Linked DNA regions of Danio rerio. The protein of the gene in region 7 interacts with the protein of the main gene of each other region in a pairwise test. Links are inferred from orthologs where the notes say so. Each region holds a gene or a part of one and is shown on either strand. Other genes may lie near its edges.

Region 1 (3,516 bases), on a different chromosome or scaffold from region 7:
GACATTTTTCAGGATTCTTTTATTAAGTTCAAAGTATATATATGAATATTTTTTTCCAAATGTACTCCAGAGTGTATTATTACAAAACATTGAAACTGAACAAAGCATTATTACTGCAATATCATGTTTTAAATATGAAACTACTAACTTCACATACAAACATCTATCAATCTAATCTGCCTTATTGCAACAGCATATGTGAAATATAAGCATATTAAAGACTTCACATGCAAACATCTTTCAATCCAATATTTCCCTCCCTATACAATCATCTTTTTTTTTTTTTTTAATAAGGCTCTTGCTCAAGAACAGTTATTTTACTCTAATCTCAAGTAAACAGGGCATTTACTTGCCTTTCAAGTGAAGTTACTGAACCTATTCATAGAGGTATAGAAGTTTTCTCTCTTATCTCTTAATGATTTCATATCCATTTCTAATACTACTATTTTGAGTGATTAAAATAGGTTGAGGATAAAGATTAGATAATAAAGAAACACTTGTAATCAGAAACAATTTTTTATATTTTTCCTTACAGTTGCAATTGATTGATACATTAATAATTTACATAATCCATTCTCATTTTGCTAACAAGGGAAAAAGCATTAGTACATCACAAAGTCAAACTTAAATAGTTAGGGAACTGTTTCTTGTTGCGGGTCATCCTAGAAAAGAAACTGTCAAATTGTTCATTCAAAATAAACAATCAGGAAATCTTACTTAGCTGTCTCACCAAAATATAATATCTTAGACCAGATTAAAATCTCTCTCAAATGCATCCATATTTTAGCACATGCAAAAACCTCACAAGTTAACTTGGGCCCATTTGACAAACCTTTTTTAAGGGAGTTGTGGTTGTATGGTTGCGTCTCATATGGTTCACTCAATAGAGCACTATATGTAAGCTGATTTTCTGAGAATAAATTGTATAAATGTACATGTATACAGTTTGGTTGCGTTTAGCATGCTGTGGTAAATGATATACTGTACCTGCTACTTAAAGGGATATATTGCAATAGACTGTTGCAAAATAGGTGCACTCCCATGAAAACTAATTAGAGCATATATAGTTAAAACCCATAAATGAATATTGTTCCATTTCTGTATCAGGCAGCTTCATCCTGTTGCATATGAGAACACCAGTGACCACAGTATCCCCGGTAGAGAGACATTTGTAGCAGTATCAAGGGACACTCTGAGCAAAGGCTGGAGAGAAATTGCTGTCTGAGAGTGAGGGAAAAAAAAAAACACATTTAAAGTATGTTTGTCAAGTTGCAAATTCAGGATTATTCCCTGAACAATAACTGAACAGGTGTTTTTATTGACACTCAACAGCTTTACGATTAGAGACAGACTTAAGATCAACAAACAAAACGGTATTTCCAACGAGTAGACAACACTCAAAAGGCAACCTTTTTCATAAGTGCTTGGCAGGCTGCTGATACTTCCACCAGTTCAATAGCATTTAAGAACATTAAACATTAAAATAAAGCTTCTCTATGAACAATTATATGTACATTTTTTTTAAAGTTGCATCCGTTGTCTTGCTCTTAAAGTGTGATATTCATAATGGGTTGCATGTCTATCTTAATTCACAACCATATTTATTTTTAAATGATTAAGAATATATGAAGTTTTTGTTTTACTGTGGAACAAAAAGACCAGGAAACACACAAGCTAAGAGGGAAATGTGTGTATTTGCCAAAAAAAAAAAAAATTGTAAGAGTGATTTTATTATCATTAAGTATTTGACTTATTTATTATTATTATTTTTTTTATCAGTTTAGCTCTACACTGGATGCAGGAAAAGACAGATTAACATGGACTGAAATTGTAGAGGCTGTTTTGACCTGCTGAAGAGTTGGAGTATTATTTTGTCACTTACAAATGTACACACGCACACATACATCTATATGCAAGGCCCTCATTCCCCATACTGACTGAACCTTTTCTTCATTAGGAAGAAAAACAGCAAAACAAATGCAGTCACTCGCCAGCACACAAGGAGCAAGAAGAAAAACGATACTCATTTGAAAGAGGCTGAAACTCTGTTCGCCATGAGCAAGATCTCCTGGTTGTTTCAGCTCTGCTTGCATCTGTGCTCGCTTGAGAGGTGTCCAGAGCTCAGGTAAAGGGAAACTATCTAACCTTGCCGTCTCTCTAAGGCTGTGAGCTGCCCTGACTGTCTGGATCGGTGCCGGAAGAGCTGGTGTCAGAGTCAGAGTCGCCGTCGTTGTCCTCTGGTGGGCACTTTTCCCGCAATCGCCTCTGGATGGCTCTGAGACGAGTCAACAAACCCTGGTAGTCAAAGCGACCTCGCTTCTCCCCAAAAGGATCCTGGGAGAAATACAACAAAAACATTTCAACTTGATAAGGAAGACGAAAAAGACATTTAGGGTATTAAACTAAGTGCAAACATAAAAAGCATTACAAAACAGCAAAAAAAAAAAAAAAAAAAAAGCAAAACAACAAAAATAAAGAAAACTTCCAGAGAGCTCAAATAGTAAACTGTTTTCTGATATATTCTGTAAAGGTTATGTTTAGGGATAGGGTTTTAGCACAGAATACACAATTTGTACAGTAGATCTGATACATTTCACATTCACTGCTTGCTTAACGCTATTTGAAGTTATTAAATAGGACTAATATGGTCTCTTTATCAGATCAAAGGTCTCAAACTGGACAGACTTGCGTTCTTGTAACGTCTGTTCTTGCCAGGTCACTTCGAAAGTACAAACTCGGGAGACCGCGAAAACACAGAACGTGTCCTGTGAGAAATGATGCGCTCTTTCTGAAGGAAATTATTTCAACATATTTTCAACATTACAGCATATATACACAATAATTTATTGTTTTCCCCCTTTCAATAAATATATATTTATACACACACACACACACACACACACACACACACACACACACACACACACACACACACACACACACACACACACACACACACACACACACACACACACACACACACACACACACTCAGACACACAAACACAATACGCATAATACAAATATAACTGATTTTAATATGAATTTCAGCAAATAAACACCCTTACTGTGTTTTTGCTTCCCAACTCCTTATTCAGCAACAAAAACTTTTGGGACTTTTGGCGAGTTTTGCGCTTAGGTCTGCATCAATGCATCCTCGAGATCAAGAACACATCCCGGAACTTTCACGTGTCCTCTGTTCTTGCGGTCTTGAGTTTTGGAACTGAACTTTGACGTTTAATGATGACATTAAACAAGAACACGAGGATGCAAGAATACTGAAAAACACATATTGAGAGACAGCCTACAAGAGACTATTAAGCAGGTGTGAATTTGAGCTGGTTGGACCTGAACTATGCAGAGCTGCGGCCCACCTAGAAATTGAGTTTGAGACCATTGCTTTACAGCCTAAAACCCTCTAACAGCAAGTTGTTCAGATGAAGGTCAAAAAGAAAAGCCCTTTCCACCAAAGTAAACATTCTCATATGAAATTTGTGATTTCTAGAATATTGCATA
Region 2 (4,252 bases), on a different chromosome or scaffold from region 7:
AAGAAATTACAGCAATTTTACCATCTTTACTTGTAACCACAGCCGCATGTCAGTACAATTATAAAAGAAGCTTCAATCTCGGTTTGTGGACGTTAAATCAGGTTTATTTTGTACATTAACATTACAGATATCGATATAGCAGTGGATAATAACATGTATCCTCTCACATTCGCATTGCAAAATCAGTGCAAAATTCAACACGAGTGCTGTGTGTGTGTGTGTGTGTGTGTGTGTGTGTGTGTGTGTGTGTGTGTGTGTGTGTGTGTGTGTGTGTGTGTGTGTGTGTGTGTGCGTGTGTACACTTTGTAATAAAACTCTGTGTGACTCATCGAAAGGCTTAAATAAACTCCACAACAAATACATAAAAAATAAGCATCAGTAAAGTTCTTACTGTAGTATTTCTCACAAACATTACGTGAGATCTGCTTCCTTCTTGTCTGTCACTGTGCTGTTTATCTGACTCAGCTGAGATTGTGGCACACTCTGACAAGTTTGGGAATGGTGGGCGGGGAGAACTAGCATTAAAGGCACAGGCAACAAAAACAGCTACAGTTTGTCCAGAGCAGAAAATATCCAGAAAGGTATAATAAATAATCTGATGGTTGTTTTGAGCTGAAACTTTACAGACACATTCTGGAGAAACAAAAGACTCATCTTAAATCTTGAAAAAGTGGTAAAATAGGTGCCCTTTAAAGTTGCACAGTTCCAAAAAAGAAATACATTTATTAACCATTTACTCAATCTCAAGAGGGTAAAGCGTTTATGAGCATCTTACATCTGCTGAACACACACAGACTATTATAGAAGTTATATATGCAAAACACAATTACTATATCACTAATACTTATAGATTCAATGGGTATCGCCAACTGTTTTATAATATTGTACATTTGTATGATTGTAAATCTGTTTTGTAAACTTAACCTAGACACTAAAACAGGACCTGGTTTCACCCTGACACATTTTGCATGGCCTGATTCATAGCATAAGTTCAGGAAATGAAAATATTTTGCAGGATGTCAATTCAGCTGAAGGAAAAGAAAACTTAAATCTAGATTATTAAGGGTGTACTGTAATAACAGTCAATCAGACATTAATTTTAAGGGGGGGTCATATCTTCGCAGTGTTGTGACCCTGCTTGAATTGGCACAATTTAGGCTTGGGTTTATGTACAGAGCCATTAACCTTTTCAGCTGTCACCAGATTCATTCTCAGTGCTAAACACGTGGGTAAGGAATACTGTCCTTCTGTATTTGAATGTCACTCCCGGAGGAGCGTAAAATGTGATTTATACCCTCACGTCATGTGCGGCCGAATGTTCTGAGTTTTCTGGTTGATAACCTCGATCTCCTCTCTAAATACAAAAACAAGCCCTTGCCCTTTAAGGTTGTCAGGGGAAACCGGCTTCCCAGATCGAGGCGCATTGACGTCAATCGTTGTTTGTGATTGGTCATAACCTTTTCCGGTGAGGCGTCCATCCATCCAAGGACTGTGAGAAAATCAGTGTAAACGGAGTAAAGCACGTCGACAAACTCCTCGAAGCGACTCAGGTATGAATATTTAAATACAGCGGCTTTTACTGTAACGTTTGATGATGTCGATACGCGAGCTGACAAGCTCGTAGAGACGTTAATTTAATGCCATCGGCTTCCGTTGTTGTGATAATGTAGTTTGCAAGATGGCGTATTTTGCTGCTTGACAAAACTGGTTACAAAAAACACAGAGCTGGAAGAAGCTGCAGGATTACGCCGATCAACACTTTAACATTGACTCAATGAAGTCTAGTTATATTGGAATATGTTTTCTGGACCAAAATGGTTGTTTTCGCATGACCGAATGGCGTAATGTTGAGAAATGCCTGTGGGGATGCGAACTGCGAATTTTATGAGCTCAGGGGCCCCGACAGGAACCAGGAGCCATAGCATGGCTGTCAAAAATCAACAGTTAGATGAAAGTTCAGTATATATCGCTTTTGTGTGGTGTCATTGTAAGTTAAAGTAGAGATTTTAGACTAGATATGCGATGTAAGATTTATGTTAGTTTGTTTCAGTTTGACAACACGTTTGGAAGCTTGTAACATTTAGTATTAACAGCAACATCACTATCTGCTAGCATGGATTTATGATAGATTTGGTTATGACCTGGATGTTTCACGTGGGGTTTAATCCAGAGGACTTCCACTGTCATGAAAGACATTTTGAAATATAAATAAAAAGACCAGAAAGATGCATATCTATACAGAAAACTTTGAATGTTTTACACATTTAGTTTTTCTTCTTTTTTCACACATTTTTTTAATCTTCTTAATTTACACATTTAACTTCTCTGTGCAGGTAGAAATTCATTAGATGTTAAAAAGTTACAATTTCTCATAAATATTTGCAATCCATATCCTTCTCGTTTATTTGATCTTGTAAGCACTTTACAGCTACACATGTACTAAAGTGCTGTACAGTCAGTAGACATGGGCCGGTGTAAGATTCTGACACTATTATACCCTTAGATGAAAACATCACAGTTTCAAAAACAAAAACTTTTTTTTTCCCCTCTTTGAACACATTTTATTTTGAGAAACATTTTAAGTATTTTGGAGCAGTGAACATGTCAGGATAAATATTATAAATAAATCGTAGACTTCTGCTGTTTTATTAGTTTCAAAAACACAAACTTCTGGACCATTTGAAACACCACTTTTGGGTATCTTTTCTGTTGGAGATACTGCTGTCCTAAAAAACAAACAAAAAAAATTATTAAAGAAATCTTGCATATACCGCAGGAATGGTATAGCAAAAACATTTGACAGGTAAAAAAAAATGACTTTTCCAACTACGGTATACCTTGAAAACAGTTATTGTCCCATGCCTACAACAAACAAATGTATAAAACTAAACTCAATAAGGACTGATTAAAAAAATGGATGCAAACTTTCAATGTAAGTAACTGCTCTGATATACCACAATGGCAGATCTCTAGAAAAAATTTAAATGAGAACTTCACACTGAAAATTAAAATTTAATTATCCTAACAGAAATATTTGAGTTCAACCACTGACTATTAAAAGGAAAGTTAGTATAATTAGCAAATTGCTTTCAGCAAGTCATGAGACAAGTTTTTCTGCAGTAATGTTTTATTTACATGAGAAAATAAAGAGAAAATTAATAATCTGGAGAAGCAAAAGCATCAAACTGAAAAGAGCTCGTGCCATAGATATTATTGTGACGTTGTTTGAGTAACGTTTTGTTAAAATACCAAGTGTATTAATTTGATTTATTTTCATGAGAGTTAAATATGAAGTGCAACAGAATAAATACCTCTCATTCAAGTTTTATTACAGATATGAATCTGAAATTCAACTTCATTATTTGAAATGATGAAAGTTTAAGGCCAAAACTAGTAATACCACCCATATTTTTAAAAACACAGTAGGCACATTCTGGAAAAGGTGGATCTTAATCACTAAAAATGATAATAAATGTTTGATAAAATTGCAGAAAGGTTTGTGTAAGGGTAGGAGAATAGAAAATAGGATTCCCCTATGGATATGTTAATATGACTGTTATATCAAAGTAAAGACATGATAATGACAAAAGATGTATGTATAGTAAGTGTTTTAAAAGATGCCACAAAAATCCAAATTTATTCCCGTATGCTTGATATACGACACAATATTTATATATGGACAGTGGACAGGAAATGAAGTGGGAGAAAGGGGGTGCAGGATTACGAAAGTTCCCTGAGCCATGACTTGGGTTGGAGCGCTGCCAATGAAGCTGCTGACTCCAGATGCCTGATTTTATTAGTGTCTTGAACTGTTTTCTCTGAAAGTCTCAGCAGTACAAAAACAATTGTTATATTGAGTAATTCTGTATTTAAATTCTTTATGCAATGAAAACTCATCATGTTTACTTTAATAAAGCACATTATTATTCGTGTGGTGGATAGTTTATATGTGCCAGTCCAGAGAAAAATTATATTTATTTTTAAAATCTACAGTTAAAATCTGAAAATAATGTTTCACTCAAGAACAATGTTCTGTGTGAAGTTAGTTTGATGGCTTGGCGAGAACACCCTTTAACCACTTCCTTCCAGCTGCACATAAATGGAGCCCAAAACCTTTAATGAGTAATTAGTTACTCAGAAACCGTTAATGTAAAATTAAATGATATATTAGAATTTACAGTGAAATAAAAACTTATTGCATCAAAGGCATTTATTTTCTTTCCTCCATTCAAAGAACATGTGTGACTGTGAA
Region 3 (4,185 bases), about 34 Mb from region 7:
ATACTTACATACATATAAATATATATATATATATATATATATATATATATATATATATATATATATATATATATAAACAACAACAAAGAAAGTTACAATTAAAATAATTTTTTTAAAGAAATTAATCATTTAGCAGTGTCTTTTATCTAATGTGACTCTCAATAAGAGTTAAACAATAAACAATTTCTGGAGTTTTGGGCTTTTACAGATTGTAGTATTTCTGGTGACAGACTCACCTTCCCACAATTCCTGCTCCTGGAAGCTGCTCTGCCTCGCTGCTAAAGGGGTCACTTACTTTTGCATCCATCTCGACGTGTCTAATAATAAAACACATATCTTAATCAACAAGAATGTATTACTATTTTGATTTAAATATATTCATATGTTGATTTAATTTCCAACAGAGTTGAGAGCCACTGGTACATTTATACTATGTGGGTTGATTGAGATGTAAAGGACATTGTGGTTGTCAAAAGAAGAAAGTGGGATCATTGGGTAAGATGCAATAATAAGTTACTGTTAATATTGCTCAGCTTTTTGCACAGACCTATAGTTTCCCTTTATTAGACCTCAATGTGTTTTCAGGTGTCACAGAAGTTAAATATGTTTTGCCTGTATATTTATGTTTGACTCTATAAGTGCAGGTAACTGTTGACTTGCATTGTATGAATAACAAAGGACCATGGCCTTTCATATAAAACTTCAAAAGGTTAGTTCACCCAAAAATTTAAATTATGTGATTAAGTACCACTATTTGTCCTCTCTTCCGCTTCAGGTAATCAGAGTTCATAATAAACGCATGTCCTGATCTGATACGTTTTTGACACACAAAAGTGTTCTTGGAGCTTCATATGATTATAGTTGACCCACTGAAGTCACATGGAATGTTTTGACAATGTGTTTAGTTCCTTTTCTGGACTATAAATGTGTCTGGACCATAAAAGGATGATGAGGAAACTTAGATTTCATGCAGGAATTAAAAGGACGTGAAGGTGAGTAATTAATAACAGAAGTTTTATTTTTGTGTGAACTAATCCTTTTATCCACTTAAAAAAAACACTCACCAGGCCCGTAGCCAGGGGTTTTCGGAAGACCCACCCACCCACACTGACAAAGGTCCAGAATTTGTCCAATACATGAGCTCATTTGTTCTTTTTTGACTGCTATGCCATCATAAATAGTGAAAATAACCCATCGAAAAAGGCATTAAGACCAAGCGTAATCCTGGTGTGACTTCAGTTAATCAGTTTTGGCCAATACAAACAATTATTTTTCAAGAGTCCAACATCCAGCTGTGCAAGAAAACACCTGACATAAGCAAAGTCATCTTTCACTACTTTATTGTTTTCAAATTGGGAAAAGATTTGACAAGTAACTTTTATTATCAATCACTTTTCTTGAAACAAAAAATAACCAATAAAGTGTAAAGTACTTATACAAGAGGCTAGAAAAACTGTGAAGCTCTTAACTGTTGTTGTTGTTATTATTATTATTATTATGTTTTAGTTTTTTATTATTATTTAAATGGCCACATTCTGACTGAGGAAAGTTGAATGTGCTGGCCAGTCAGTTATTTGCTTAATAAATTACACTAGGCTACAGTTTCTAATTTAAAACGTTGATGCATGATAAATGATGCAATATATTTCTGTTTTAAAAACACATATTTGCCATATTTATTTCTTTATTATAAATATTTAGGAAATGTTTTGGTACATCAAAAAGTGTGGTTATGATGACCATCCAACAAGATAATTGATTCAATAAAGTCAGGTAAAAAGTGCTTAAAATTTCATCTAAATTCAGCATTGAAATCTCATAACTAAACAGAAAATGAGGCGAACAACAGCAAAAAGATCTACCTATTAAGAAAAAACCCTTTCAAAAGGCTGGATTAATGAATAGCAAACTATAGATGAAAGGTTCTTCAAAGTGAAGTATAAGATAAAGGAAAAGTTATATTCGGATATTCAGACATTCTCCTTAACAATATAATTTCAGAAAAGTATTCTTTGCAAATTCCGAATAGGAAAATCATATAAGCACCAAATGATTATCAAAGTACAACATTGTTCACAATCAATTAGATAGAATTAATGTTATTTAGAAGTCATACTTGCAGGCTAATTCCGATCGAATATTCAAAGTAACATGGTAAACAATATAGGGACTTCTAAATGTGCGAATATAAAACCAACTTTACCTCTAACGTTATAAGTACAAGAACATGCACATAACTTTAGTCAAGGGATACTAAGACTTTTACACTTGATAGGAAAACAATGAATTTGATCTCCTTCACAGAAAGCAACTTTCTAAACTTCCTCTGTATGTCTTCACTTAATCTATGAAGCTCGCTTTCTATGTTATGGTAAGTTATGAACGTGTTCAATGACGTTACTGGAAAAATGATGTCACTCATGGGCTGCAACTGAAACTCTGCGTTCAAGAAGAGAAACAATCCGGTAGAGCAAGTTTGTTAAGCTGCTACATTACGTCAGATGTGCCTCAAAAAATAAATTATTACAGTCAGACAATAAACAACGTTTTCTTTTTTTGGTATGTCACAAAACATAATCCATAAAGTTTGTTTATCAAATCCGTTACAGACAGCAGCAAGCGCTCTTTCTCAAAATATATATCGATACCCCTTAACTTTGAGATCAATCGGTAACGTTAGTAACATAGAGAAATCGACAGACAGTGAGACGAAATATTTCTAGAATTGTGCTTTAAAAGGGGAGTAAACCTTAAAGTAACAATCATACTCACAGCACTTTGTGTAGATGTGTTGACTGTGTTGATGTGCAGCGGATATGATGTGGTTCGCAAACAGCGGTGACGATCTTCTTCTGTTGACATAAGTTAACACGAGTCAAACTTGCGACTGCCTCCTAGTGACACGGATCAGCATACAGGGCATGCACCTAAATTTTTTTTAAATGGATACAATGTCCTTTACATGTTATAACTATTATTTTGCATTAAGATAAAATATAGAAAATGAGGTTTAATGATATAAGAAAAAAACAGCAAAACTAAAAAAATATGAAAATAATTTTTAAAAATTCAAGTACAAAAGATGCATTCTAGAACTTTTGGGCCCCTTGGCTGGAATTGTTTATGGCCCCAAAATCACTAAATCAGCCCTTGATAATATATAATATATTTTAATATTCAAGAACAGACATACCTAGTAATGAACATTGTATAGTTGACATTCATTTGCAGCATTATAAATATGTGATGTCAATAAATACTTTTTTTCTAGCTAAATGCTATTAATTTCAGGAATTGGATTTCTGTTCTTTTCCAGTACACACTGCCAAAAACCTTGTGGCCTATCCAAGTTTTAGGAACAACAAATAACTTGACTTAGTTGATGATTTGGTATCAGTGGCTGAAAGGCAAAGGCCTCTAGTGTACGCTTCTTTTACCAAAATAAAATATGATTATGCCTTGATTTTTTATTATTTAATGAGGATAGTAAGGCCTGACTTTGCTAAAACAAAAGACTTAACAGAAATAATGTACAGTATAGAATATAAAGTCATGGTGCAATGGAAAAATAATTAATATTGTGTATGACTCCCATGAGCTTGGAGGGCTGCATCCACACATCTCTGCAATGACTCAAATCACTTATTAATAAAGTCATCTGGAATGGCAAAAACAGTGTTCCTGCAGGACTCCCAGAGTTCATCAAGATTCTTTGAATTCATCTTCAATGCCTTCGCCTCCATCTTACCCCAGACATGCTCAATAACTTTTATGTCTGGTGATTGGGCTGGCCAATACTGGAGCACTTTGACCTTTGCTTGCAGGAACTTTGATGTGGAGGCTGAAGTATGAGAAGGAGCGTGATCCGGCTGAAGAATTTGCCCTCTCCTGTGATATGTAATGAAAAGGGCAGCAAATGTCTTGATATCTCAGGCTGTTGATGTTGAATAAATGTAAACACAAATCATATTTTTTCCTTCACCAAACTTGACTGATTTCTGTGAGAATCTTGGGTCCATGAGGGTTCCAATAGGTCAGCAGTATGTGTGATGCAGTTCAACATGATTAATCAAAAAATTTACCTTCTGCCACTTTTCCAAATGATCAACTAGAAGTCAAGTTACTATTTGTTGCTCTTACAGCAGGGATCGACGACAATACTTTTGTCAGGTAGTGTAGGCACAG
Region 4 (4,255 bases), on a different chromosome or scaffold from region 7:
ACTAATATGATTAGTCTTGTTAAAATCTCAAGACTGAGAATAGTTTATAGAAAGTACTTTTCATCAGGCATTCAACGTAGACGATCCATTAGGGTCCTATGCAAACTCGATTGCAGGGGCGGGGCTCGATTTCTCACCACACTGACAGAACATAAACATTTTAGTAGAAAACTGACTGTGGTACTATTCCAGAAAATGAAACCTAAATCTAATTTCCTGAAAGCAACGCTGATGTATTGTAAAAATAAATACAAAACAAAAGACCTATGACCTTTTGATGGTCAAATTGCTCAATTTAACACACCATTTTATGCTGTGCCCAGTATTTCAGAGACAGTTTCATCTGTCAAGCTCATTTAAAATTTGCAATTATCAGTTTTTTTGGATAGGAAACGACAAGGTTCTACACCAAATGCTTCTCTTTAATTTTAATTACAAAATCTAAAGATTATTGCACTTAATTTGTATCTGGATTATAAGATATCATAAGAAATGTTCCTAGTTTTCTTTGCTGTTGTTTGTGTTGTTTTTTAAAGGCTATTGCAAATGCATGAGTAATGTAAGGAAAGCATGACAAACCAACTTCTCTCAAAAGTCACTGATCAGACTGGAAATTTTTGTAATTAAAAACCCATTAAAAGAATTAATACTGCATCGTGAACTCCATTTGTTCCAAACTTTTACCACAATCTTTCTGCAGGTTTATGAAGGTCATTTTAATACTTTGACTAAATAAAAAATCTAATTATAAAAAGACAATATGTGACCCTGTAGCACAAAACCAGTGACATGTCTCCGTTTTTGGGAATTAAGATTCGTGCATTATCTGAAAGCTGAACTAATGAGGTGTCCGTGACAATACTTGCCCAACATACAGCAATTTAAACATCTGTAATCTGGGGGTTAAAAAAAAAGCTGAGTTTCAAGTTTAACGCACAGTACTTATCAAAAATTTAGTTTTGCTTATGGTATATTTACTAAATAACTCAATATTGTAATGAATTGTAGCATAAAATAAATATTGATAATGTACATTTATCATGTACCCATATAATGATATTGACATGCAACATAAGACTGGGTTAGTGTAGCAGGGTCACATAAGTCAACTCAACATTTTCTCTAAATTGACAGTGAACACAATTTGAAAATACAACTTAATCATTTTACAAAACAAATAGTATAACTAGATTTCCACTAACCAGAAAATATATGTTCTCATCACACTGTTAAAAGTTTAGTTTATCCTCAGTATTGTCGTCTTGTTTTGCAGATAAAATATGGAAAGATCTTTAAACTAAGATATTTACTTAAGAAACAAAATGACATGATATAAATTCCTGAAATGGATCAAAATGAAGTGAGCTTATGATTAAAACAGCAAACATTTGAGCTTATTGAGCTCAAAAAATCAACTCATCAATTTTCGTTCCCTGTTGACAGATATTTGTTGTTGTTGTTTTAAGCATAACCTGACTTGTTCAATTTATTGCAAAAGTAAATTAAATGTATTCATTTTTGCTTGTTTAGATATTACATGTTTAAGCACATTCAACATTAATGCCAATGCCATTACGAATTTAAGATTTCTCTAATTTAGAAAAATAAGAGTCACAGAATCCCCATTAAACCCTTTTTTTAATATAACAAAGATATGTGTATTACTATCATTTTAAAATAATTTATCCGTACATTGACAATTTAGTATAAACAATGTACAAAATGTCTTTGGAAATCGGCAAGGGGGATGTTCCATAGGTTCAGTATTAATATTTAATGTTGCTTATTTATTCATATACGGTCTGATCTAACAAAAACAAGACACCATTGATGTTAAAGCCATAGATTTCAAATGATAACCCTGCCGTCGTATATTTCCATCGTCTAACTACTGCGCCACACACACACTGCGAGCGTCACGACACAGCAGAATGCTCGGATACAGAGATCTCGCTGCTGGCTTTCTGCGACGCGAGCTTTTGGGCTATCGCGTCGCGCACTCGCAGTGTGGCTGCGGCTCTCGCTCAGCCAACGTCCCTCCCTCCCTCCTGCAGCAAGTGCCCTGCTGTCGAGCACAGAGCTCCCCGAACCACCCAAAACAAGCAGACCCCGGTGCTCATCGAATCCAACACATCCATGCCCCCTTTTAAGGCATCATCCTATATTGTTTTGTCTTCCACCGATGCAAATCAGTCGGCGTTCAGTACCTACCCGGAAATATATGGTAGCTAATCTCAAAAAGAGAAGATATTTTCAGCATTAAAGGCTAAACTGGATTAATTGCTCCGCTTATTACGCACCACACCGTGAAATCTCGGTGAATCTTCCTGTAAGAAAACAGAACAGAAAGTACAATTGTAGCTACAGCTGTAAGAGTGATACTTAACTGGCTATTTGATGGATGCAATACACTGTTTTAGTAACTTACACATAATCGCAAATGTACACATACGGAGACGAGTATAGACTCGACCCCCGTGTTTAATCGCTTATCTGGCTGGATATTCTCAATAAACTGGCTGGGAAATTATTTCAAACGCTAGGTTGGCTGGCTAACTAGCTAGCAGGCTAGCCCCGTATTGAGGCTCAAGTATCGAAAATACAAGAGGTTTCATTTTCAAACATGCAGAGTACAAACAAAAATAACTATACTCACATCACTGTCGACCTCGATATCATCGTTGTCGCTCATTCTTCGGCGAAGATAGATAAATCTACACGAAATGTTGTTTTGAAAACAACATGAAACGGGGCCCAAATCAAATGAACAAACAGGAGAGATTCACTGCTTACACGAAACGAGATCAACGGACTCCCCACACGTGACTCGCCTACACACGGACATTTACCGTGGCGTGTCACGTCTGTGATTGCGCCGCAGAGCATCGTGGGACTTGTCGTTTGTTTAAGTTACGCAGTCGGTGGATGTAACCACGGAACTATTGTGTAGGACTACAACACCCAGACAGCTTTTCTGGGCGGAGTCTCTACATGGGGTTGAAGGAAAGCCCTTATGGTGGCAATGGGAGGTGGTAATTGTAGTTCATTTACATGTCTCGGAACCAGCAAGACACGTGGAGATTGCTCAGCGTTGTTTGTGACTAATACGTGGGTCACTAATACTGTGCATATTTGTGAGTAATTGCAAACTATAAAAATATTTAGACCATTGGTAATATTCTTGTTTTAGTACTCTTATCAGAGCTATAAAAACACAGAAACATGGTTACTCTAACGACCTACTTTAAATGTGAACTTGATGACAGTTTAAAATGACAGAAATAAACAAACAAAAACAGCACGGTTTGGATGTCAGTTTCTGCTAATACTTTATTAATAACAATTATATAAAAAAAACCCGGAGAATAAAAACAATGTTGTTTTGGCTATTTTGATTATTATGGATGTGGTGGTTTTATCACAGCTGTATTAAAGCATAATAATAATTCTGTAGCTACAAAATATTTCAGAGGAAAACTTGTTGTCATGACAAATTTAATGTAACATATCTCATTTTAAAACAGAACTGATCCTGATTCTCTAATAATGGTGTTATTCATAACAGTATAAAGCTGTGTCTTAGAAAACACAATTTTGATTCATTAGTAGTGGGCCTACTTTATACTGTTATCAATAGTGTGATCAGAGATTACTGAAAATACTTTAATATTAATAATTTAAAACCCTTTAACAAACAACTGCTGTTGTTATGACTGTGATCGGGCAAAAATAAATCTTTATATAGACAGTTGTTTCAACTTTAAATTATAAGGGAAAAGTATTTAGTTTTGTAATTTTAATCAATTATCTAGATCAAATACAGCAGATCATTTCAGAAGAAAACTATAACATAGAAAACTATATAATGCATTTCAAAATAAAACTGATCCTGATTCTTTAATAGCAGGCCCATAGCAGCCTGATGAAAGAGGTGGTTGTTTTTTTCTCAAAATGTGGACCTTTTTGCAGTTATCGCCTTATTTTCTATTTAATTATTATGTTTAGCACTATTTTTAGCTGGATTCGCTTGTCGGATGGATCATAAACACTTTTTGATACACCAAAAGTATTTCCTTAAAATTTATAATAAAGGAATATGAAATTCATTCATTCATTCATTCATACATATTCATTTTCCTTTCGGCTTAGACATTAATTTCCTTCGGACGCCACAGCGGAATGAACTGCCAACTTATCCAGCATATGTTTTATGCAGCGGATGCGCTTCTTGCTGCAACCCATCTCTGGGAACAGA
Region 5 (3,500 bases), on a different chromosome or scaffold from region 7:
TTTGCTTGTCAACATCAATCATGGATCTCGCTCTTCCTGCTGGGGTTTTCCTTGGTCTGTTCTGAAACATCTCAGCATCATCAGTCACTGTCCCAGCAATGTCTTCCTGGCTCTGCTGTAAATTAAAACCAAATTGTTTTGGTGCATTGACATCGGTTTTCTTTGTCACTTTAAGTTTTGTGCACCCTTGGTCAGTGTTATCAGTCTTCTCATCTTGCTGTACCGTTTGTGCATTAGATACCATGCTATCTTCAGTAACTTTTCGATTTCTTCGCTTTTTACTCCTTGATTCCTCTGTGTAATGAGTGCCACAGCCTGTTGTTGTCTTATTATCATCATCCAGCCTATTGATTGGCTTCTCAGGCTCCTCTTCAAATGCACATTTATCTTGGCTATACGGTTGTTTCTCCTTAGCACTATCTTGGTTTTCAGTATCTCTGTCCATTTTTTTGACCCACTGAAGGTCTAAATTATGCATGACTGGAGTTTTGGTGGGGTCTTTTCTACCATATTTACGTTTGATGTTCCCAAAAACTTGCTCAGTGACTTGCTGCAAACCTCTGTCTTTGTTAAAAGAGAACAGACTTGAGTCAGTTGAGGGACTCATTACTGTATTGACTGAAGATGCTGCAAGTAAGTCAGTGCTTGGTGAGGACATGGCAGATCCAAAGTGACTTCCAGATAAACCGTCTGCGACTTTTTTGACTTGTGTTTTCAAGAAGGGGGTGCTGGGCTCTGGCAAAGGACCCTTGTTGGTGCATGCTGATTCTTTTTTTGTTTCTGGTTCTGTTCTGTTTTGCTCTTGGGATCCTACTTCTCCAACAGTATCCAACTTCTTTGTCCAGTCAAGGTGGAGAATGTCGTTGCTTTTAGACTGCTTTGGTTTTGTGTTCTCCATCATCACATTTTCAGTTTTACCCAGAAGTTTAGAGGGCCTTTCGTAAGTCTAAAAAAAAAAGACAAAAGATAAAATTTAGAATATGAAACAATATTATTTCCAGGTCATTCTGTAAATCTTTACAAGCTCTTTGTTCTCTTACACTAGGTAGCTTGACAGAGAAACATTCACACCCCATACAAAAAAACAACTATAACTAGGAACCTACATGTTGTTACTGATAACAACTCCTGTTTTGCTGCCAAGTTCTCAGTTTGTGGGCCACACCTACTGAAAGCATATAATACTGTGCACCATTGTGCAAGCCTTTGAGACTTGTGGTTTGGTCTGTTAGAAATAACGTATTGCAAGATCAGCACTTGATACTAGGATATGTTCTGTAAAGCCATCCTGTTTTCAAAGCCAACAGCTACAGGCGGTAATGAAGTTTAACCACAGTTTTGTTTTTCAACAGGTCAACTTCCATTTCAGAGCTCTGCAGCTGAGGCTAAGACAGTCTATGCTGCGGTTTCAGATTAGTTTACATCTGGGGTCCCAGCATTTTCAACAGGCTCACAACAGGAAAGAGACCAAAAAGACCAAATTCAAATAGTACCTTTAGAAACAAAAACAAGTTGCACCTATAACTTTTACTGCAATAAATGGAAAACAAAAACAAAGAAAAAAAAAACACTGAGAATCATTGAACAAAAACCCTCTAAATGTTTAAAGCTTAAAGAGGTTGGAAAATATTATGTTACTTTGGCACTGACATGTCTGATTACATCAGCAGAAAATAATTTAGACTCATGGAGTCTGGTTTGTTTAGATCAGAGTACAGCAAATGAAACAACTTCTGACATAAACCAAAGAAATGCATGAAAAGACAAATGTGGGAAAACAGTTTAGAAAGGTTTATATAAGTGCCCTTGAACGCTGACATCTTGGAGTGATGAAAGGCCTGTCTTTTAAACAATTGTGAATGTGAGCTGAACTCAGCTGAACTATGCACCAGAGAAAAAACACATCACAACTGCATCTGTTAATTAATGTAAAATCTAGTCACTTCAGTGAAGTTATTACGAGCAAACCCAGCAAGATTTTTTTTTTTCATGGAAAATATTACTTGCCCTTGTAAAACTCACTAGCAAGGTGCAAAAAGAATTTCAGTCTCTAAAGCATTCCTGAAGTAATGCATGTTGACTAGTGCATGTGCCCGACCTATTGCAGGGCTCGAAATAAACTTTTTTACTTGGTAGCACCGGTGCTCTCAACTTCAAATATTTAGGAGCACCAAAAAATTTTAGGAGCACCAGAAAAAATTTAGGAGCACCCACCAAAAATGAATGAGCACCGCTGCAAATTGTTTTTTAAGGGATTTATTGTATTTTAAAACAACATTAATAGGACTGACAAAAACCAGAAACAACTATCTAACTAATGCTGCGAAGACATTGATATTTGTGTGCAATAATTCCAAAATGAATGTCTAATAATTAGGCCATAGAATATTAATGATGATAAAAAATGACAATAATAGTAACAATGAATTCCATTTCTTATTATGATACTGCCTTGAATGTGCTTGAATGTAGGTTATCTGCTATAAAAAGTCTGTTACTTTATGAAAAATAATTGTATAGTTTGCATCAAACAAAAATGAAGCATTGCAGTAGGAAATATTTATTTTGTACTGCTGTTTTTATATGCATGTCAAATTAATAAATAATATTTCTGCTACAAAACAAACAAAAGATTATAATAAATCATTCAATTCAATGATGAAAGCTGCAAAGCAGTCATCAGTAAATAAAAAATAATAATAATATACACCTCAAAAAAGAATAAAGAAAAGTAAGTAAGTAAAGTCTCACTTCTATCACTCTTTAAAAGTTTTGCTTTCAGTTTGTGTCAATTTAAAGGTTCAGTCTGAGATTATCTTCATTTTTCTGTGTTAGTGGAAAAGCTGGCGAGTCAGCCGACCCAATTTATGAGCAGGCAGAGCAGGATTCTTGCGCTAACCATCGGCGCAATACCGGTCTTTGTTATGAGCCACAGTTTCAGTGTAAACTTAGTAAAGGCGAGCTTCTTTGGCGATGATATGTACAGTATTAGATTTGACTTTTAGCGGACATTTGCGCTGAACACGCAGTGAATGCAACGCATGGAGATTCGGGCACCTTCTCCAAGAAGCGCGTACTCGATTGATCACAGCTGGCGGATCATTATTCACCACGTGACATGTCATGATCGCTTTCATCTGCGCCTCAACTTTAGGTGGGGTTTGCAAACCTGTGTGCTTTAAGTTTTTACTCTTCAGCTGTTTGTATTTCCCGTGGTCATAAAAGCTCCTTCCTTGTCATCTGACAGCGGAATACCTTGAGTGAATGACAGCTAATATGAACCAATATAGCCGCAGGGAAGAGCGATTCAGCACGTTTTTACAAAAAATCAAAACAGGTCGCACTACAACCATTATCTGCAGTCGCACTAATGCGCCCAAATATATTATGAGGTCGCATAGATTAATTTTCGGGCGCATATGCGACCAAAATGGTCGCAATTTCGAGACCTGTATTGAGTCAGGCAATAAGAGCTCAAAACCGGCTTGTGACATTTCAAC
Region 6 (4,079 bases), on a different chromosome or scaffold from region 7:
CATGGGGAGCAGAGAGAAAGAGGAAGGGTCGGCATTGGACCTCAAGGTGGAAATCGAACTCAGGTCGCCGTGATCACCGCCGTGAGTGCATTTGTTGATGCACTAACCACTACGTCATCGGTGCCAAACATATTTCGAATAGGAATCATTTGATGACATATAAAAACACTACATAACGGATGCTCCAAAAAAAAATAATAATAATAATAATAATAAAAAATTGTCATTAATTGTCATTTTTAATCTTTATATTTTGCAACTATCCTTCAAAACCACTACGTTTTACCCCAATTTGTAAATATTCATATGATCACTTACTTGTTTAAATATTCCAATAAATACAACTGTGATTTGTGTAAAATATGCCTACATTTTGAAGTGATAAATTTACCTCTGATTTAGCAGCCTTGATCTGCACGTTATCATCGATTTGAGTCCTGTTTCGATCCTCAAGGGCAGCACAGTGGTCAGATGTAAGAGGATCATCAGTAAACATCTGCTCAGATGTATGTGCAGTTTCTTTCCTTTCACCGATGTCTGGGTTGGAACTTGTACAGTTATTTGCCTCAGACTCCACTATCTGCTTCAAACTCTCAGAGACCGACTAGAAGCAGAAGGTTAATAAAAAAAAAACAATGTGGTAAAAGACAGTCTTACAGTGTCTTTATAATGATAAACTGTGTCTTAGCAAGGAGTCAGAAGATAATGTGCAGTAATGCTGGTCATATACATTTAAAAAAAAAAAAAACGCTGATAAGCTAATCAGAGAACCATCTTGAAGGACAAAGGATTCATTTTGCCCTGTCAGTTTTTGTTTTGCAAAAAACACTGAACATATTTACATTTTAAGAACATTATTCAGGAAACAACATTATTCCACTTGCATAATATGAATTTAATAGTGCAGGGCAACGATTAATCGTAGTAAACCGTGACCAAAATATAAATACGTTGTAACATAATATATATGTGTGTGTGTAGTATGCATATTTAAAACACACATATACATAAAACTTAATTTTACAATAAAAAATATTATATATATTTTATATGTAAATGTAAATAAACATTTTCTCAAAAAAATTTAATAAATAGCATATTTATATATATATATATTTATATATATATATATATATATATATATATATATATATATATATATATATATATATACACACACACACACACACACACACACACACACACGCGAACACAAACACACACACACACTTACATACATACATGCATACACACAAACACACACACACACACACACACACAAGCTTTGAATTTGGATGTGATTAATTATAAATAAACATGAGTCAGTACTATGTATTTTATATATTTTAATGATCAACTAAAAGAGTGCACTTACTTTCTATCCCTCAAAGCCTTAATTTCATAAAATAAAAACATTGCAGCAAAAGCTTGTTTCCACCAAAGAAAAAACAAATAAGTAAGGATAACTGTGACTTTTCTTCAACGCATTGTGATTTGATACTTGCAACTGAAAATGATGAACATTATCTCGTAATTCTGACTATTTTCAGTATTGTTACTCTGCATCTCAGGGTTTCAAATGGTTTTGACTTCGTTTATAATAATTTATATCTTGTAATTTAAACGTTTTATCAAAAATGTGAGATACAAATGAAGATTTGTGGGCAATAAAGTCCCTATTCTAACATAAAAAGTCAAAATGCAAGATAAAATATTAAATAGCATTATAAAATTCTGACTTTTCCACCAATAATATATCATGTTTCCTTCTGGCAATACTGATGATATTCTCTGAATTACAATTGTGACATAATGGGTTTAATTTTTTATTCCATTGTGGAAACAAATGTTCACCAATTCTCTGGATAAGGTTCATTACAGATAAGTAAACAAATAAATGGCAAACAAAATTCACTTACAAGATCTATTTAAAGGTTCAGAAGATATCTTTATACTTAAAAAATCAGCTATGTGTGTTAGTAAATGTTATAATGCACATGACTCTGTTTACCTGTAGTTTGGAGATGTGCTGTTGTAAACAGGAGTGCACATGAGATGGCTGAAGCTCACAGATGTTCACATTGTTGACATTGGCACTGATTTTCAATGCGTTATCATCTATTTTTAACTGGAAAATAAGACAGTTTTTTGTTGTTGTTGTGGTTTCTAAATTGTCAATGCAGAAAAGATGCCTAAAACAGACTAGGTGGTTTATTTCGCTGGTCAATATGGTTTGTTAAATGAGTAGTAAGATTTTAGGCACTTGTCAGCTGGGGAGGCAGGGAGTAAAACCAGCTAAAAATTGAATAAAAATCCAGAAAAGAAACATATGAGACCATTATAAAAACTCCAGGACAGGCTGATTATTTCAGCAGTGACAGTGGAAATATTGCATATTACAACTTATTGCAGACAAGTACAGACAAATTATCTAAGTGATTGAAACAAATCATATTAGCGCGGACAAATCATATAATTTTACGACATGGGTGATCTTGTTACTTCGGAAAAGTTCCATAATTTAACGTTACATATTTAGCTTTTGGCATCTCAAATGAAATAACGTTACAAATATGACTGTTAAGAGCTCTATCCCAAACAGTGACACCGTGGCAGAATTTGCTTTTAAACAAACCTTTACTCCAAGCTCAGCGAGGGAGTCGACAATAGAGGCAACGCAGTCTCTGAAAGCATCCCTTTGTCTTGCATGAAGTGAAATCTGGCTTCTGCTTTGCTCTTGTTTACTTGCAGCACACGCACCGCGTCTTTCGCCGTCCGCCGCCATCATTCTTCCGCTCCCGGCTGCTGCGCTGATTGGACCAACGGTCTCCTGCATAACATGACCTCACTTCCGCTAGCAAAATAACGAGCATTTAAAATTGACTACTGCAAATATAAACGAAGGTAAATTACTTTATTTCGATAGTTTAAATATTGACATTGACCGTGTTTAATGTTTATTATTTTGTCCGTCACAAAACAATCTTCTGTTTCACCCTTTTGTGTTTTTAAATCGCATTTAACATTACAATTTATCAATATGACTAAAATGAAACGGGTTTTTATGTATATGCCAAGGGTAATGCATTTACCTGATCATTTCATGTCATTCTTTAAAAAGCTATTTAAAAATACACACACCCAGACAAACAAATAGGGTTCAAAAGGTTGTGTAACGTTAAAGGTAAAGGCCTGTAAATAAAAAATGTATGCCTAAATGATATTGGAAAAAACTGACATTGCAATATTTTCATTCACTGTGATATATATTGCGATATAAATGCAATTTCACCAGATGAATAGCTTGCTAAAATTGAGTTATTGTGTAGTGGAGCATATCTGCATAAAATATAATTTTAAAGGGCACCTATGATGAAAATAATATTTTCTAATCTGTTTGGACAGAACTGTGTATAGGTATAGTGTGTGTCCACAGTCATATTAAGGTGATATAAAGACAATAGGTCTCTTTTTAAAAAATTTCTTAATGTTAAAATAGGATTTAAATCCCTCCTATTTTGAGGCCCACCGCATCGTGACATAGGAGGGCGGTTTCCCTGTCCACCGAATTGATTGACAGCCGCGTACTAACATGTATTAGTAGTAATACGCATAATCATATCAACAAGGCACAAAGTGTGCAAAGCAACTGGGATTAAAAGATCTGTTCAGCTTTCTGTGATCATCAGTCATCATCAAATGTGATCGAGAGTGAGTTTTACAAGTTTAAAAAGTTTTTAAAACAGTGCATGTTTGTAATGAATTACAGAGATTATGCCGTCTTTATCACCACAACAGCATGTCAGTACAATAATATAAAAGACTCCTCAATCCTGGTTTGTGGACATTAATTCAGGCAGTGTATATTAAATGTGCATTAGGGGATCAGCCTAAATGATAACCGGCTAGCATAATATTTTTTAAATTCAATCTCTCCACTGCTGGCCAAAACCACGCCTCCTGTTATCACAAACACGCACATTAAAGATGACAGAGACCCACTAGATCATGTCATTCACCAGTTAGAAAAGTTTATAGTACTTTATAATACTAAAATTCCCAATGAAAAACTGCTTTAT
Region 7 (2,257 bases):
ACAGTCATTAAATGGTACCTGTGTGCCTCTAAGCAGTATATGAGGTGCGCTGTTAAACGCAGACGTCTCAAAGTAAAGGAATCAGCCCAAGTCAAACTGTTCTCCTTTCCAGGATCTACTTCCTGAGGATAAATAAGAAGGCACTGAGGCAGCGACGACCTTGTCAGATGAATTATGCAACAGGCTTCCTGCTCCACGGCATCATATACACATTTACAAGCTTAGTAGCATCTATCTGATTTGTCATTAGCAATTACTAGAACATGAGAAAACACATACTATCATGGTTTGTTAGTGGTTAGTTGTTCAAAGAATTAAACGCAGCTCGTCGTTTAAAACTTAATGCACTACACTGTTTCACCTGAGGGAGGGTATGCTCAAGAACAGCCTGTAATCACATTATGCAACATTCGCTTCTCCGGCGTAGTAGCAGTAAGAAAATGCTAGCAAAAGAAGATGAAAGAGCACCATTGCCAAGAAATGCATCTACATGAAAGGACTTAAATTGGACTGAGAGGGACTTTAATGTGGAAGTGTAGCGAGCCGACAAGTAGTGTTCATGAGGATCAATTCCCATCAAACCTTTTGTTCATTTGCACAGGGCTTTTAATTATTTAGGGAAACTGTTATTGCCAGAGGAACCTTTGCAAACCTTGAATGAGAGACTAAAATATTGGGATCTGTATATTGTCAGTGTTTCCTAAAAGAGACTCTCAGTCACTGCTGTCGTCGTCATCGTCGTCATCTGAGATGTTGTTGCTGCCGAAGTCGGAGCCCTGCCGGCTGTAGGAGTCTGATCGGGGCGGGAGAGTAGCACCCGTCGAGAGCTGCTTGTAACAGAACTCGCACACGCGCACTGGTTTGGAGGACTGGCTGGGGAGAAGGAACTTTTTCTCTGAGCACGGGCCACATACGACGAAGCCACACTTCCGGCAGTGATGGCGCCGGTTGACAGGGGTGAACTTCATCTTCTGGCAGCGCATGCACACGGTTGCCTCTGAATCGGGCACCCAGACTGCGGCGTGCTCGCCGGTAGGAGATTTCCCGCTTTTTTCAAGCAAGTCCGAAACGCATTTGTTGATGTGGCTCATCCACTCGGACTTCTCCGTTGCGGTTGCGGCGTAAACAGCAAAGGATTTGGTGGGCGTTTTAATGAGCCAGCCGTTGCGCAATTCGCCCTCGTCCTCGACCGTGTCTATGGTGACGCTCTCCAAAGGGATGATGTGCTGCTTATTGTACTTCTTCTTCTGGATGACGATGTTGCCGTACACCAGGATGTCGTTGAAGAGGAAGAACTGCCGAGCTTTGGGTCTTTTGCGGCACAGCTTTGTGAGAACGCCCTCTCCGATCAGAACTCGACCTGGGATGGCCAGCGGTTGGCCTGCTGTGCCGAAGCATGCCTCCACCACCCCGATGCGTTTAGAGTTGGCCTCACTGTTCGCCAAGCGGTCCACCATCTTTCAGACACCTAGGAATAAAAGAGAGAAAAAGGGGTCATGATGGGAGCAGGAATGAAGATGATTACAATGGCTCAAGTTACCTTTGCATTCTCCCTAGACCATTTTGAGCAATGTAAACAAAAACAATGGTCACAACGAGTTTCCTGTTTTCCATTCGTAATATCTATAGCTTCAGAGAATCCAAAAAGAGCCACAAATTGATAAATAATGTCATGTTAGATGTTTTTACATTAAGTTATGATTGAATTTTCTCGTTACAGTTTTGAAATAGTTTGATCACAAGCAGGAAATGTTCATGACCCAATGGCATTATGGCATGACCACACTGAAATGGTCTTTAGACACAGATACCCAAGCCAGTGGTTCCCAAAATGGGGGTCGGTCATTTTATTAAACGATTAGAATTAACATATTTTATTCATAACCTATAGAAGAAAAAAAAATTGGTTAATAATTACATACAAAAACAACATGCAGTCAGCGAAATAGCCTAGTGGTTAGTGCGCTGACATTTGGAGCGGAAACGCTCCAGTCATCCCAAGTTCAAATCCCAGCCTGTGGACTTTTCCCAATCTTAAATCCTTCTCTCTTCCTTTTCACTTTCTGTCAACCTACTGTCCTGTCAAATAACCCTTTAACTGGCATTTTTAATTATATATATGATATGTATATATATATATATGTATATACATATATATATATATATATATATATATATATATATATATATATATATATGTATATATACGTATATATGTATATATACATATATACGTGTATATATATATATATATATA

What was found.
Region 1: the proteins of plekhf2 (region 7) and ube2z interact in binary tests that used the Homo sapiens proteins (3 or more experiments, as listed by UniProt). The two-hybrid records come from large-scale screens. The link is inferred for Danio rerio from reciprocal best matches to the Homo sapiens genes PLEKHF2 and UBE2Z.
Region 2: the proteins of plekhf2 (region 7) and prkar1aa interact in binary tests that used the Homo sapiens proteins (3 or more experiments, as listed by UniProt). The two-hybrid records come from large-scale screens. The link is inferred for Danio rerio from reciprocal best matches to the Homo sapiens genes PLEKHF2 and PRKAR1A.
Region 3: the proteins of plekhf2 (region 7) and rabac1 interact in binary tests that used the Homo sapiens proteins (3 or more experiments, as listed by UniProt). The two-hybrid records come from large-scale screens. The link is inferred for Danio rerio from reciprocal best matches to the Homo sapiens genes PLEKHF2 and RABAC1.
Region 4: the proteins of plekhf2 (region 7) and max interact in binary tests that used the Homo sapiens proteins (3 or more experiments, as listed by UniProt). The two-hybrid records come from large-scale screens. The link is inferred for Danio rerio from reciprocal best matches to the Homo sapiens genes PLEKHF2 and MAX.
Region 5: the proteins of plekhf2 (region 7) and setbp1 interact in binary tests that used the Homo sapiens proteins (3 or more experiments, as listed by UniProt). The two-hybrid records come from large-scale screens. The link is inferred for Danio rerio from reciprocal best matches to the Homo sapiens genes PLEKHF2 and SETBP1.
Region 6: the proteins of plekhf2 (region 7) and mbip interact in binary tests that used the Homo sapiens proteins (3 or more experiments, as listed by UniProt). The two-hybrid records come from large-scale screens. The link is inferred for Danio rerio from reciprocal best matches to the Homo sapiens genes PLEKHF2 and MBIP.

Annotation. Positions count from the first base shown.
Region 1 is NC_133178.1:22,323,243-22,326,758, forward strand, and holds the end of ube2z (ubiquitin-conjugating enzyme E2 Z), read right to left. Parts: intron 2,335-3,516; coding exon 2,158-2,334; 3' UTR 501-2,157; downstream 1-500. UniProt on the Homo sapiens protein: Catalyzes the covalent attachment of ubiquitin to other proteins. Specific substrate for UBA6, not charged with ubiquitin by UBE1. May be involved in apoptosis regulation.
Region 2 is NC_133178.1:35,128,392-35,132,643, reverse strand, and holds the start of prkar1aa (cAMP-dependent protein kinase type I-alpha regulatory subunit), read left to right. Parts: upstream 1-1,452; 5' UTR 1,453-1,550; intron 1,551-4,252. UniProt on the Homo sapiens protein: Regulatory subunit of the cAMP-dependent protein kinases involved in cAMP signaling in cells.
Region 3 is NC_133191.1:11,086,695-11,090,879, forward strand, and holds the start of rabac1 (prenylated Rab acceptor protein 1), read right to left. Parts: upstream 2,801-4,185; 5' UTR 2,773-2,800; intron 318-2,772; 5' UTR 308-317; coding exon 237-307; intron 1-236. UniProt on the Homo sapiens protein: General Rab protein regulator required for vesicle formation from the Golgi complex. May control vesicle docking and fusion by mediating the action of Rab GTPases to the SNARE complexes.
Region 4 is NC_133195.1:31,576,429-31,580,683, forward strand, and holds the start of max (protein max), read right to left. Parts: upstream 2,801-4,255; 5' UTR 2,693-2,800; coding exon 2,657-2,692; intron 2,328-2,656; coding exon 2,301-2,327; intron 1-2,300. UniProt on the Homo sapiens protein: Transcription regulator. Forms a sequence-specific DNA-binding protein complex with MYC or MAD which recognizes the core sequence 5'-CAC[GA]TG-3'. The MYC:MAX complex is a transcriptional activator, whereas the MAD:MAX complex is a repressor.
Region 5 is NC_133180.1:56,228,735-56,232,234, reverse strand, and holds part of setbp1 (SET-binding protein), read right to left. Parts: intron 947-3,500; coding exon 1-946.
Region 6 is NC_133192.1:40,162,938-40,167,016, reverse strand, and holds the start of mbip (MAP3K12-binding inhibitory protein 1), read right to left. Parts: upstream 2,801-4,079; 5' UTR 2,789-2,800; coding exon 2,636-2,788; intron 2,129-2,635; coding exon 2,012-2,128; intron 605-2,011; coding exon 392-604; intron 1-391. UniProt on the Homo sapiens protein: Inhibits the MAP3K12 activity to induce the activation of the JNK/SAPK pathway. Component of the ATAC complex, a complex with histone acetyltransferase activity on histones H3 and H4.
Region 7 is NC_133191.1:44,847,369-44,849,625, forward strand, and holds the end of plekhf2 (pleckstrin homology domain-containing family F member 2), read right to left. Parts: intron 1,469-2,257; 5' UTR 1,458-1,468; coding exon 714-1,457; 3' UTR 501-713; downstream 1-500. UniProt on the Homo sapiens protein: May play a role in early endosome fusion upstream of RAB5, hence regulating receptor trafficking and fluid-phase transport. Enhances cellular sensitivity to TNF-induced apoptosis.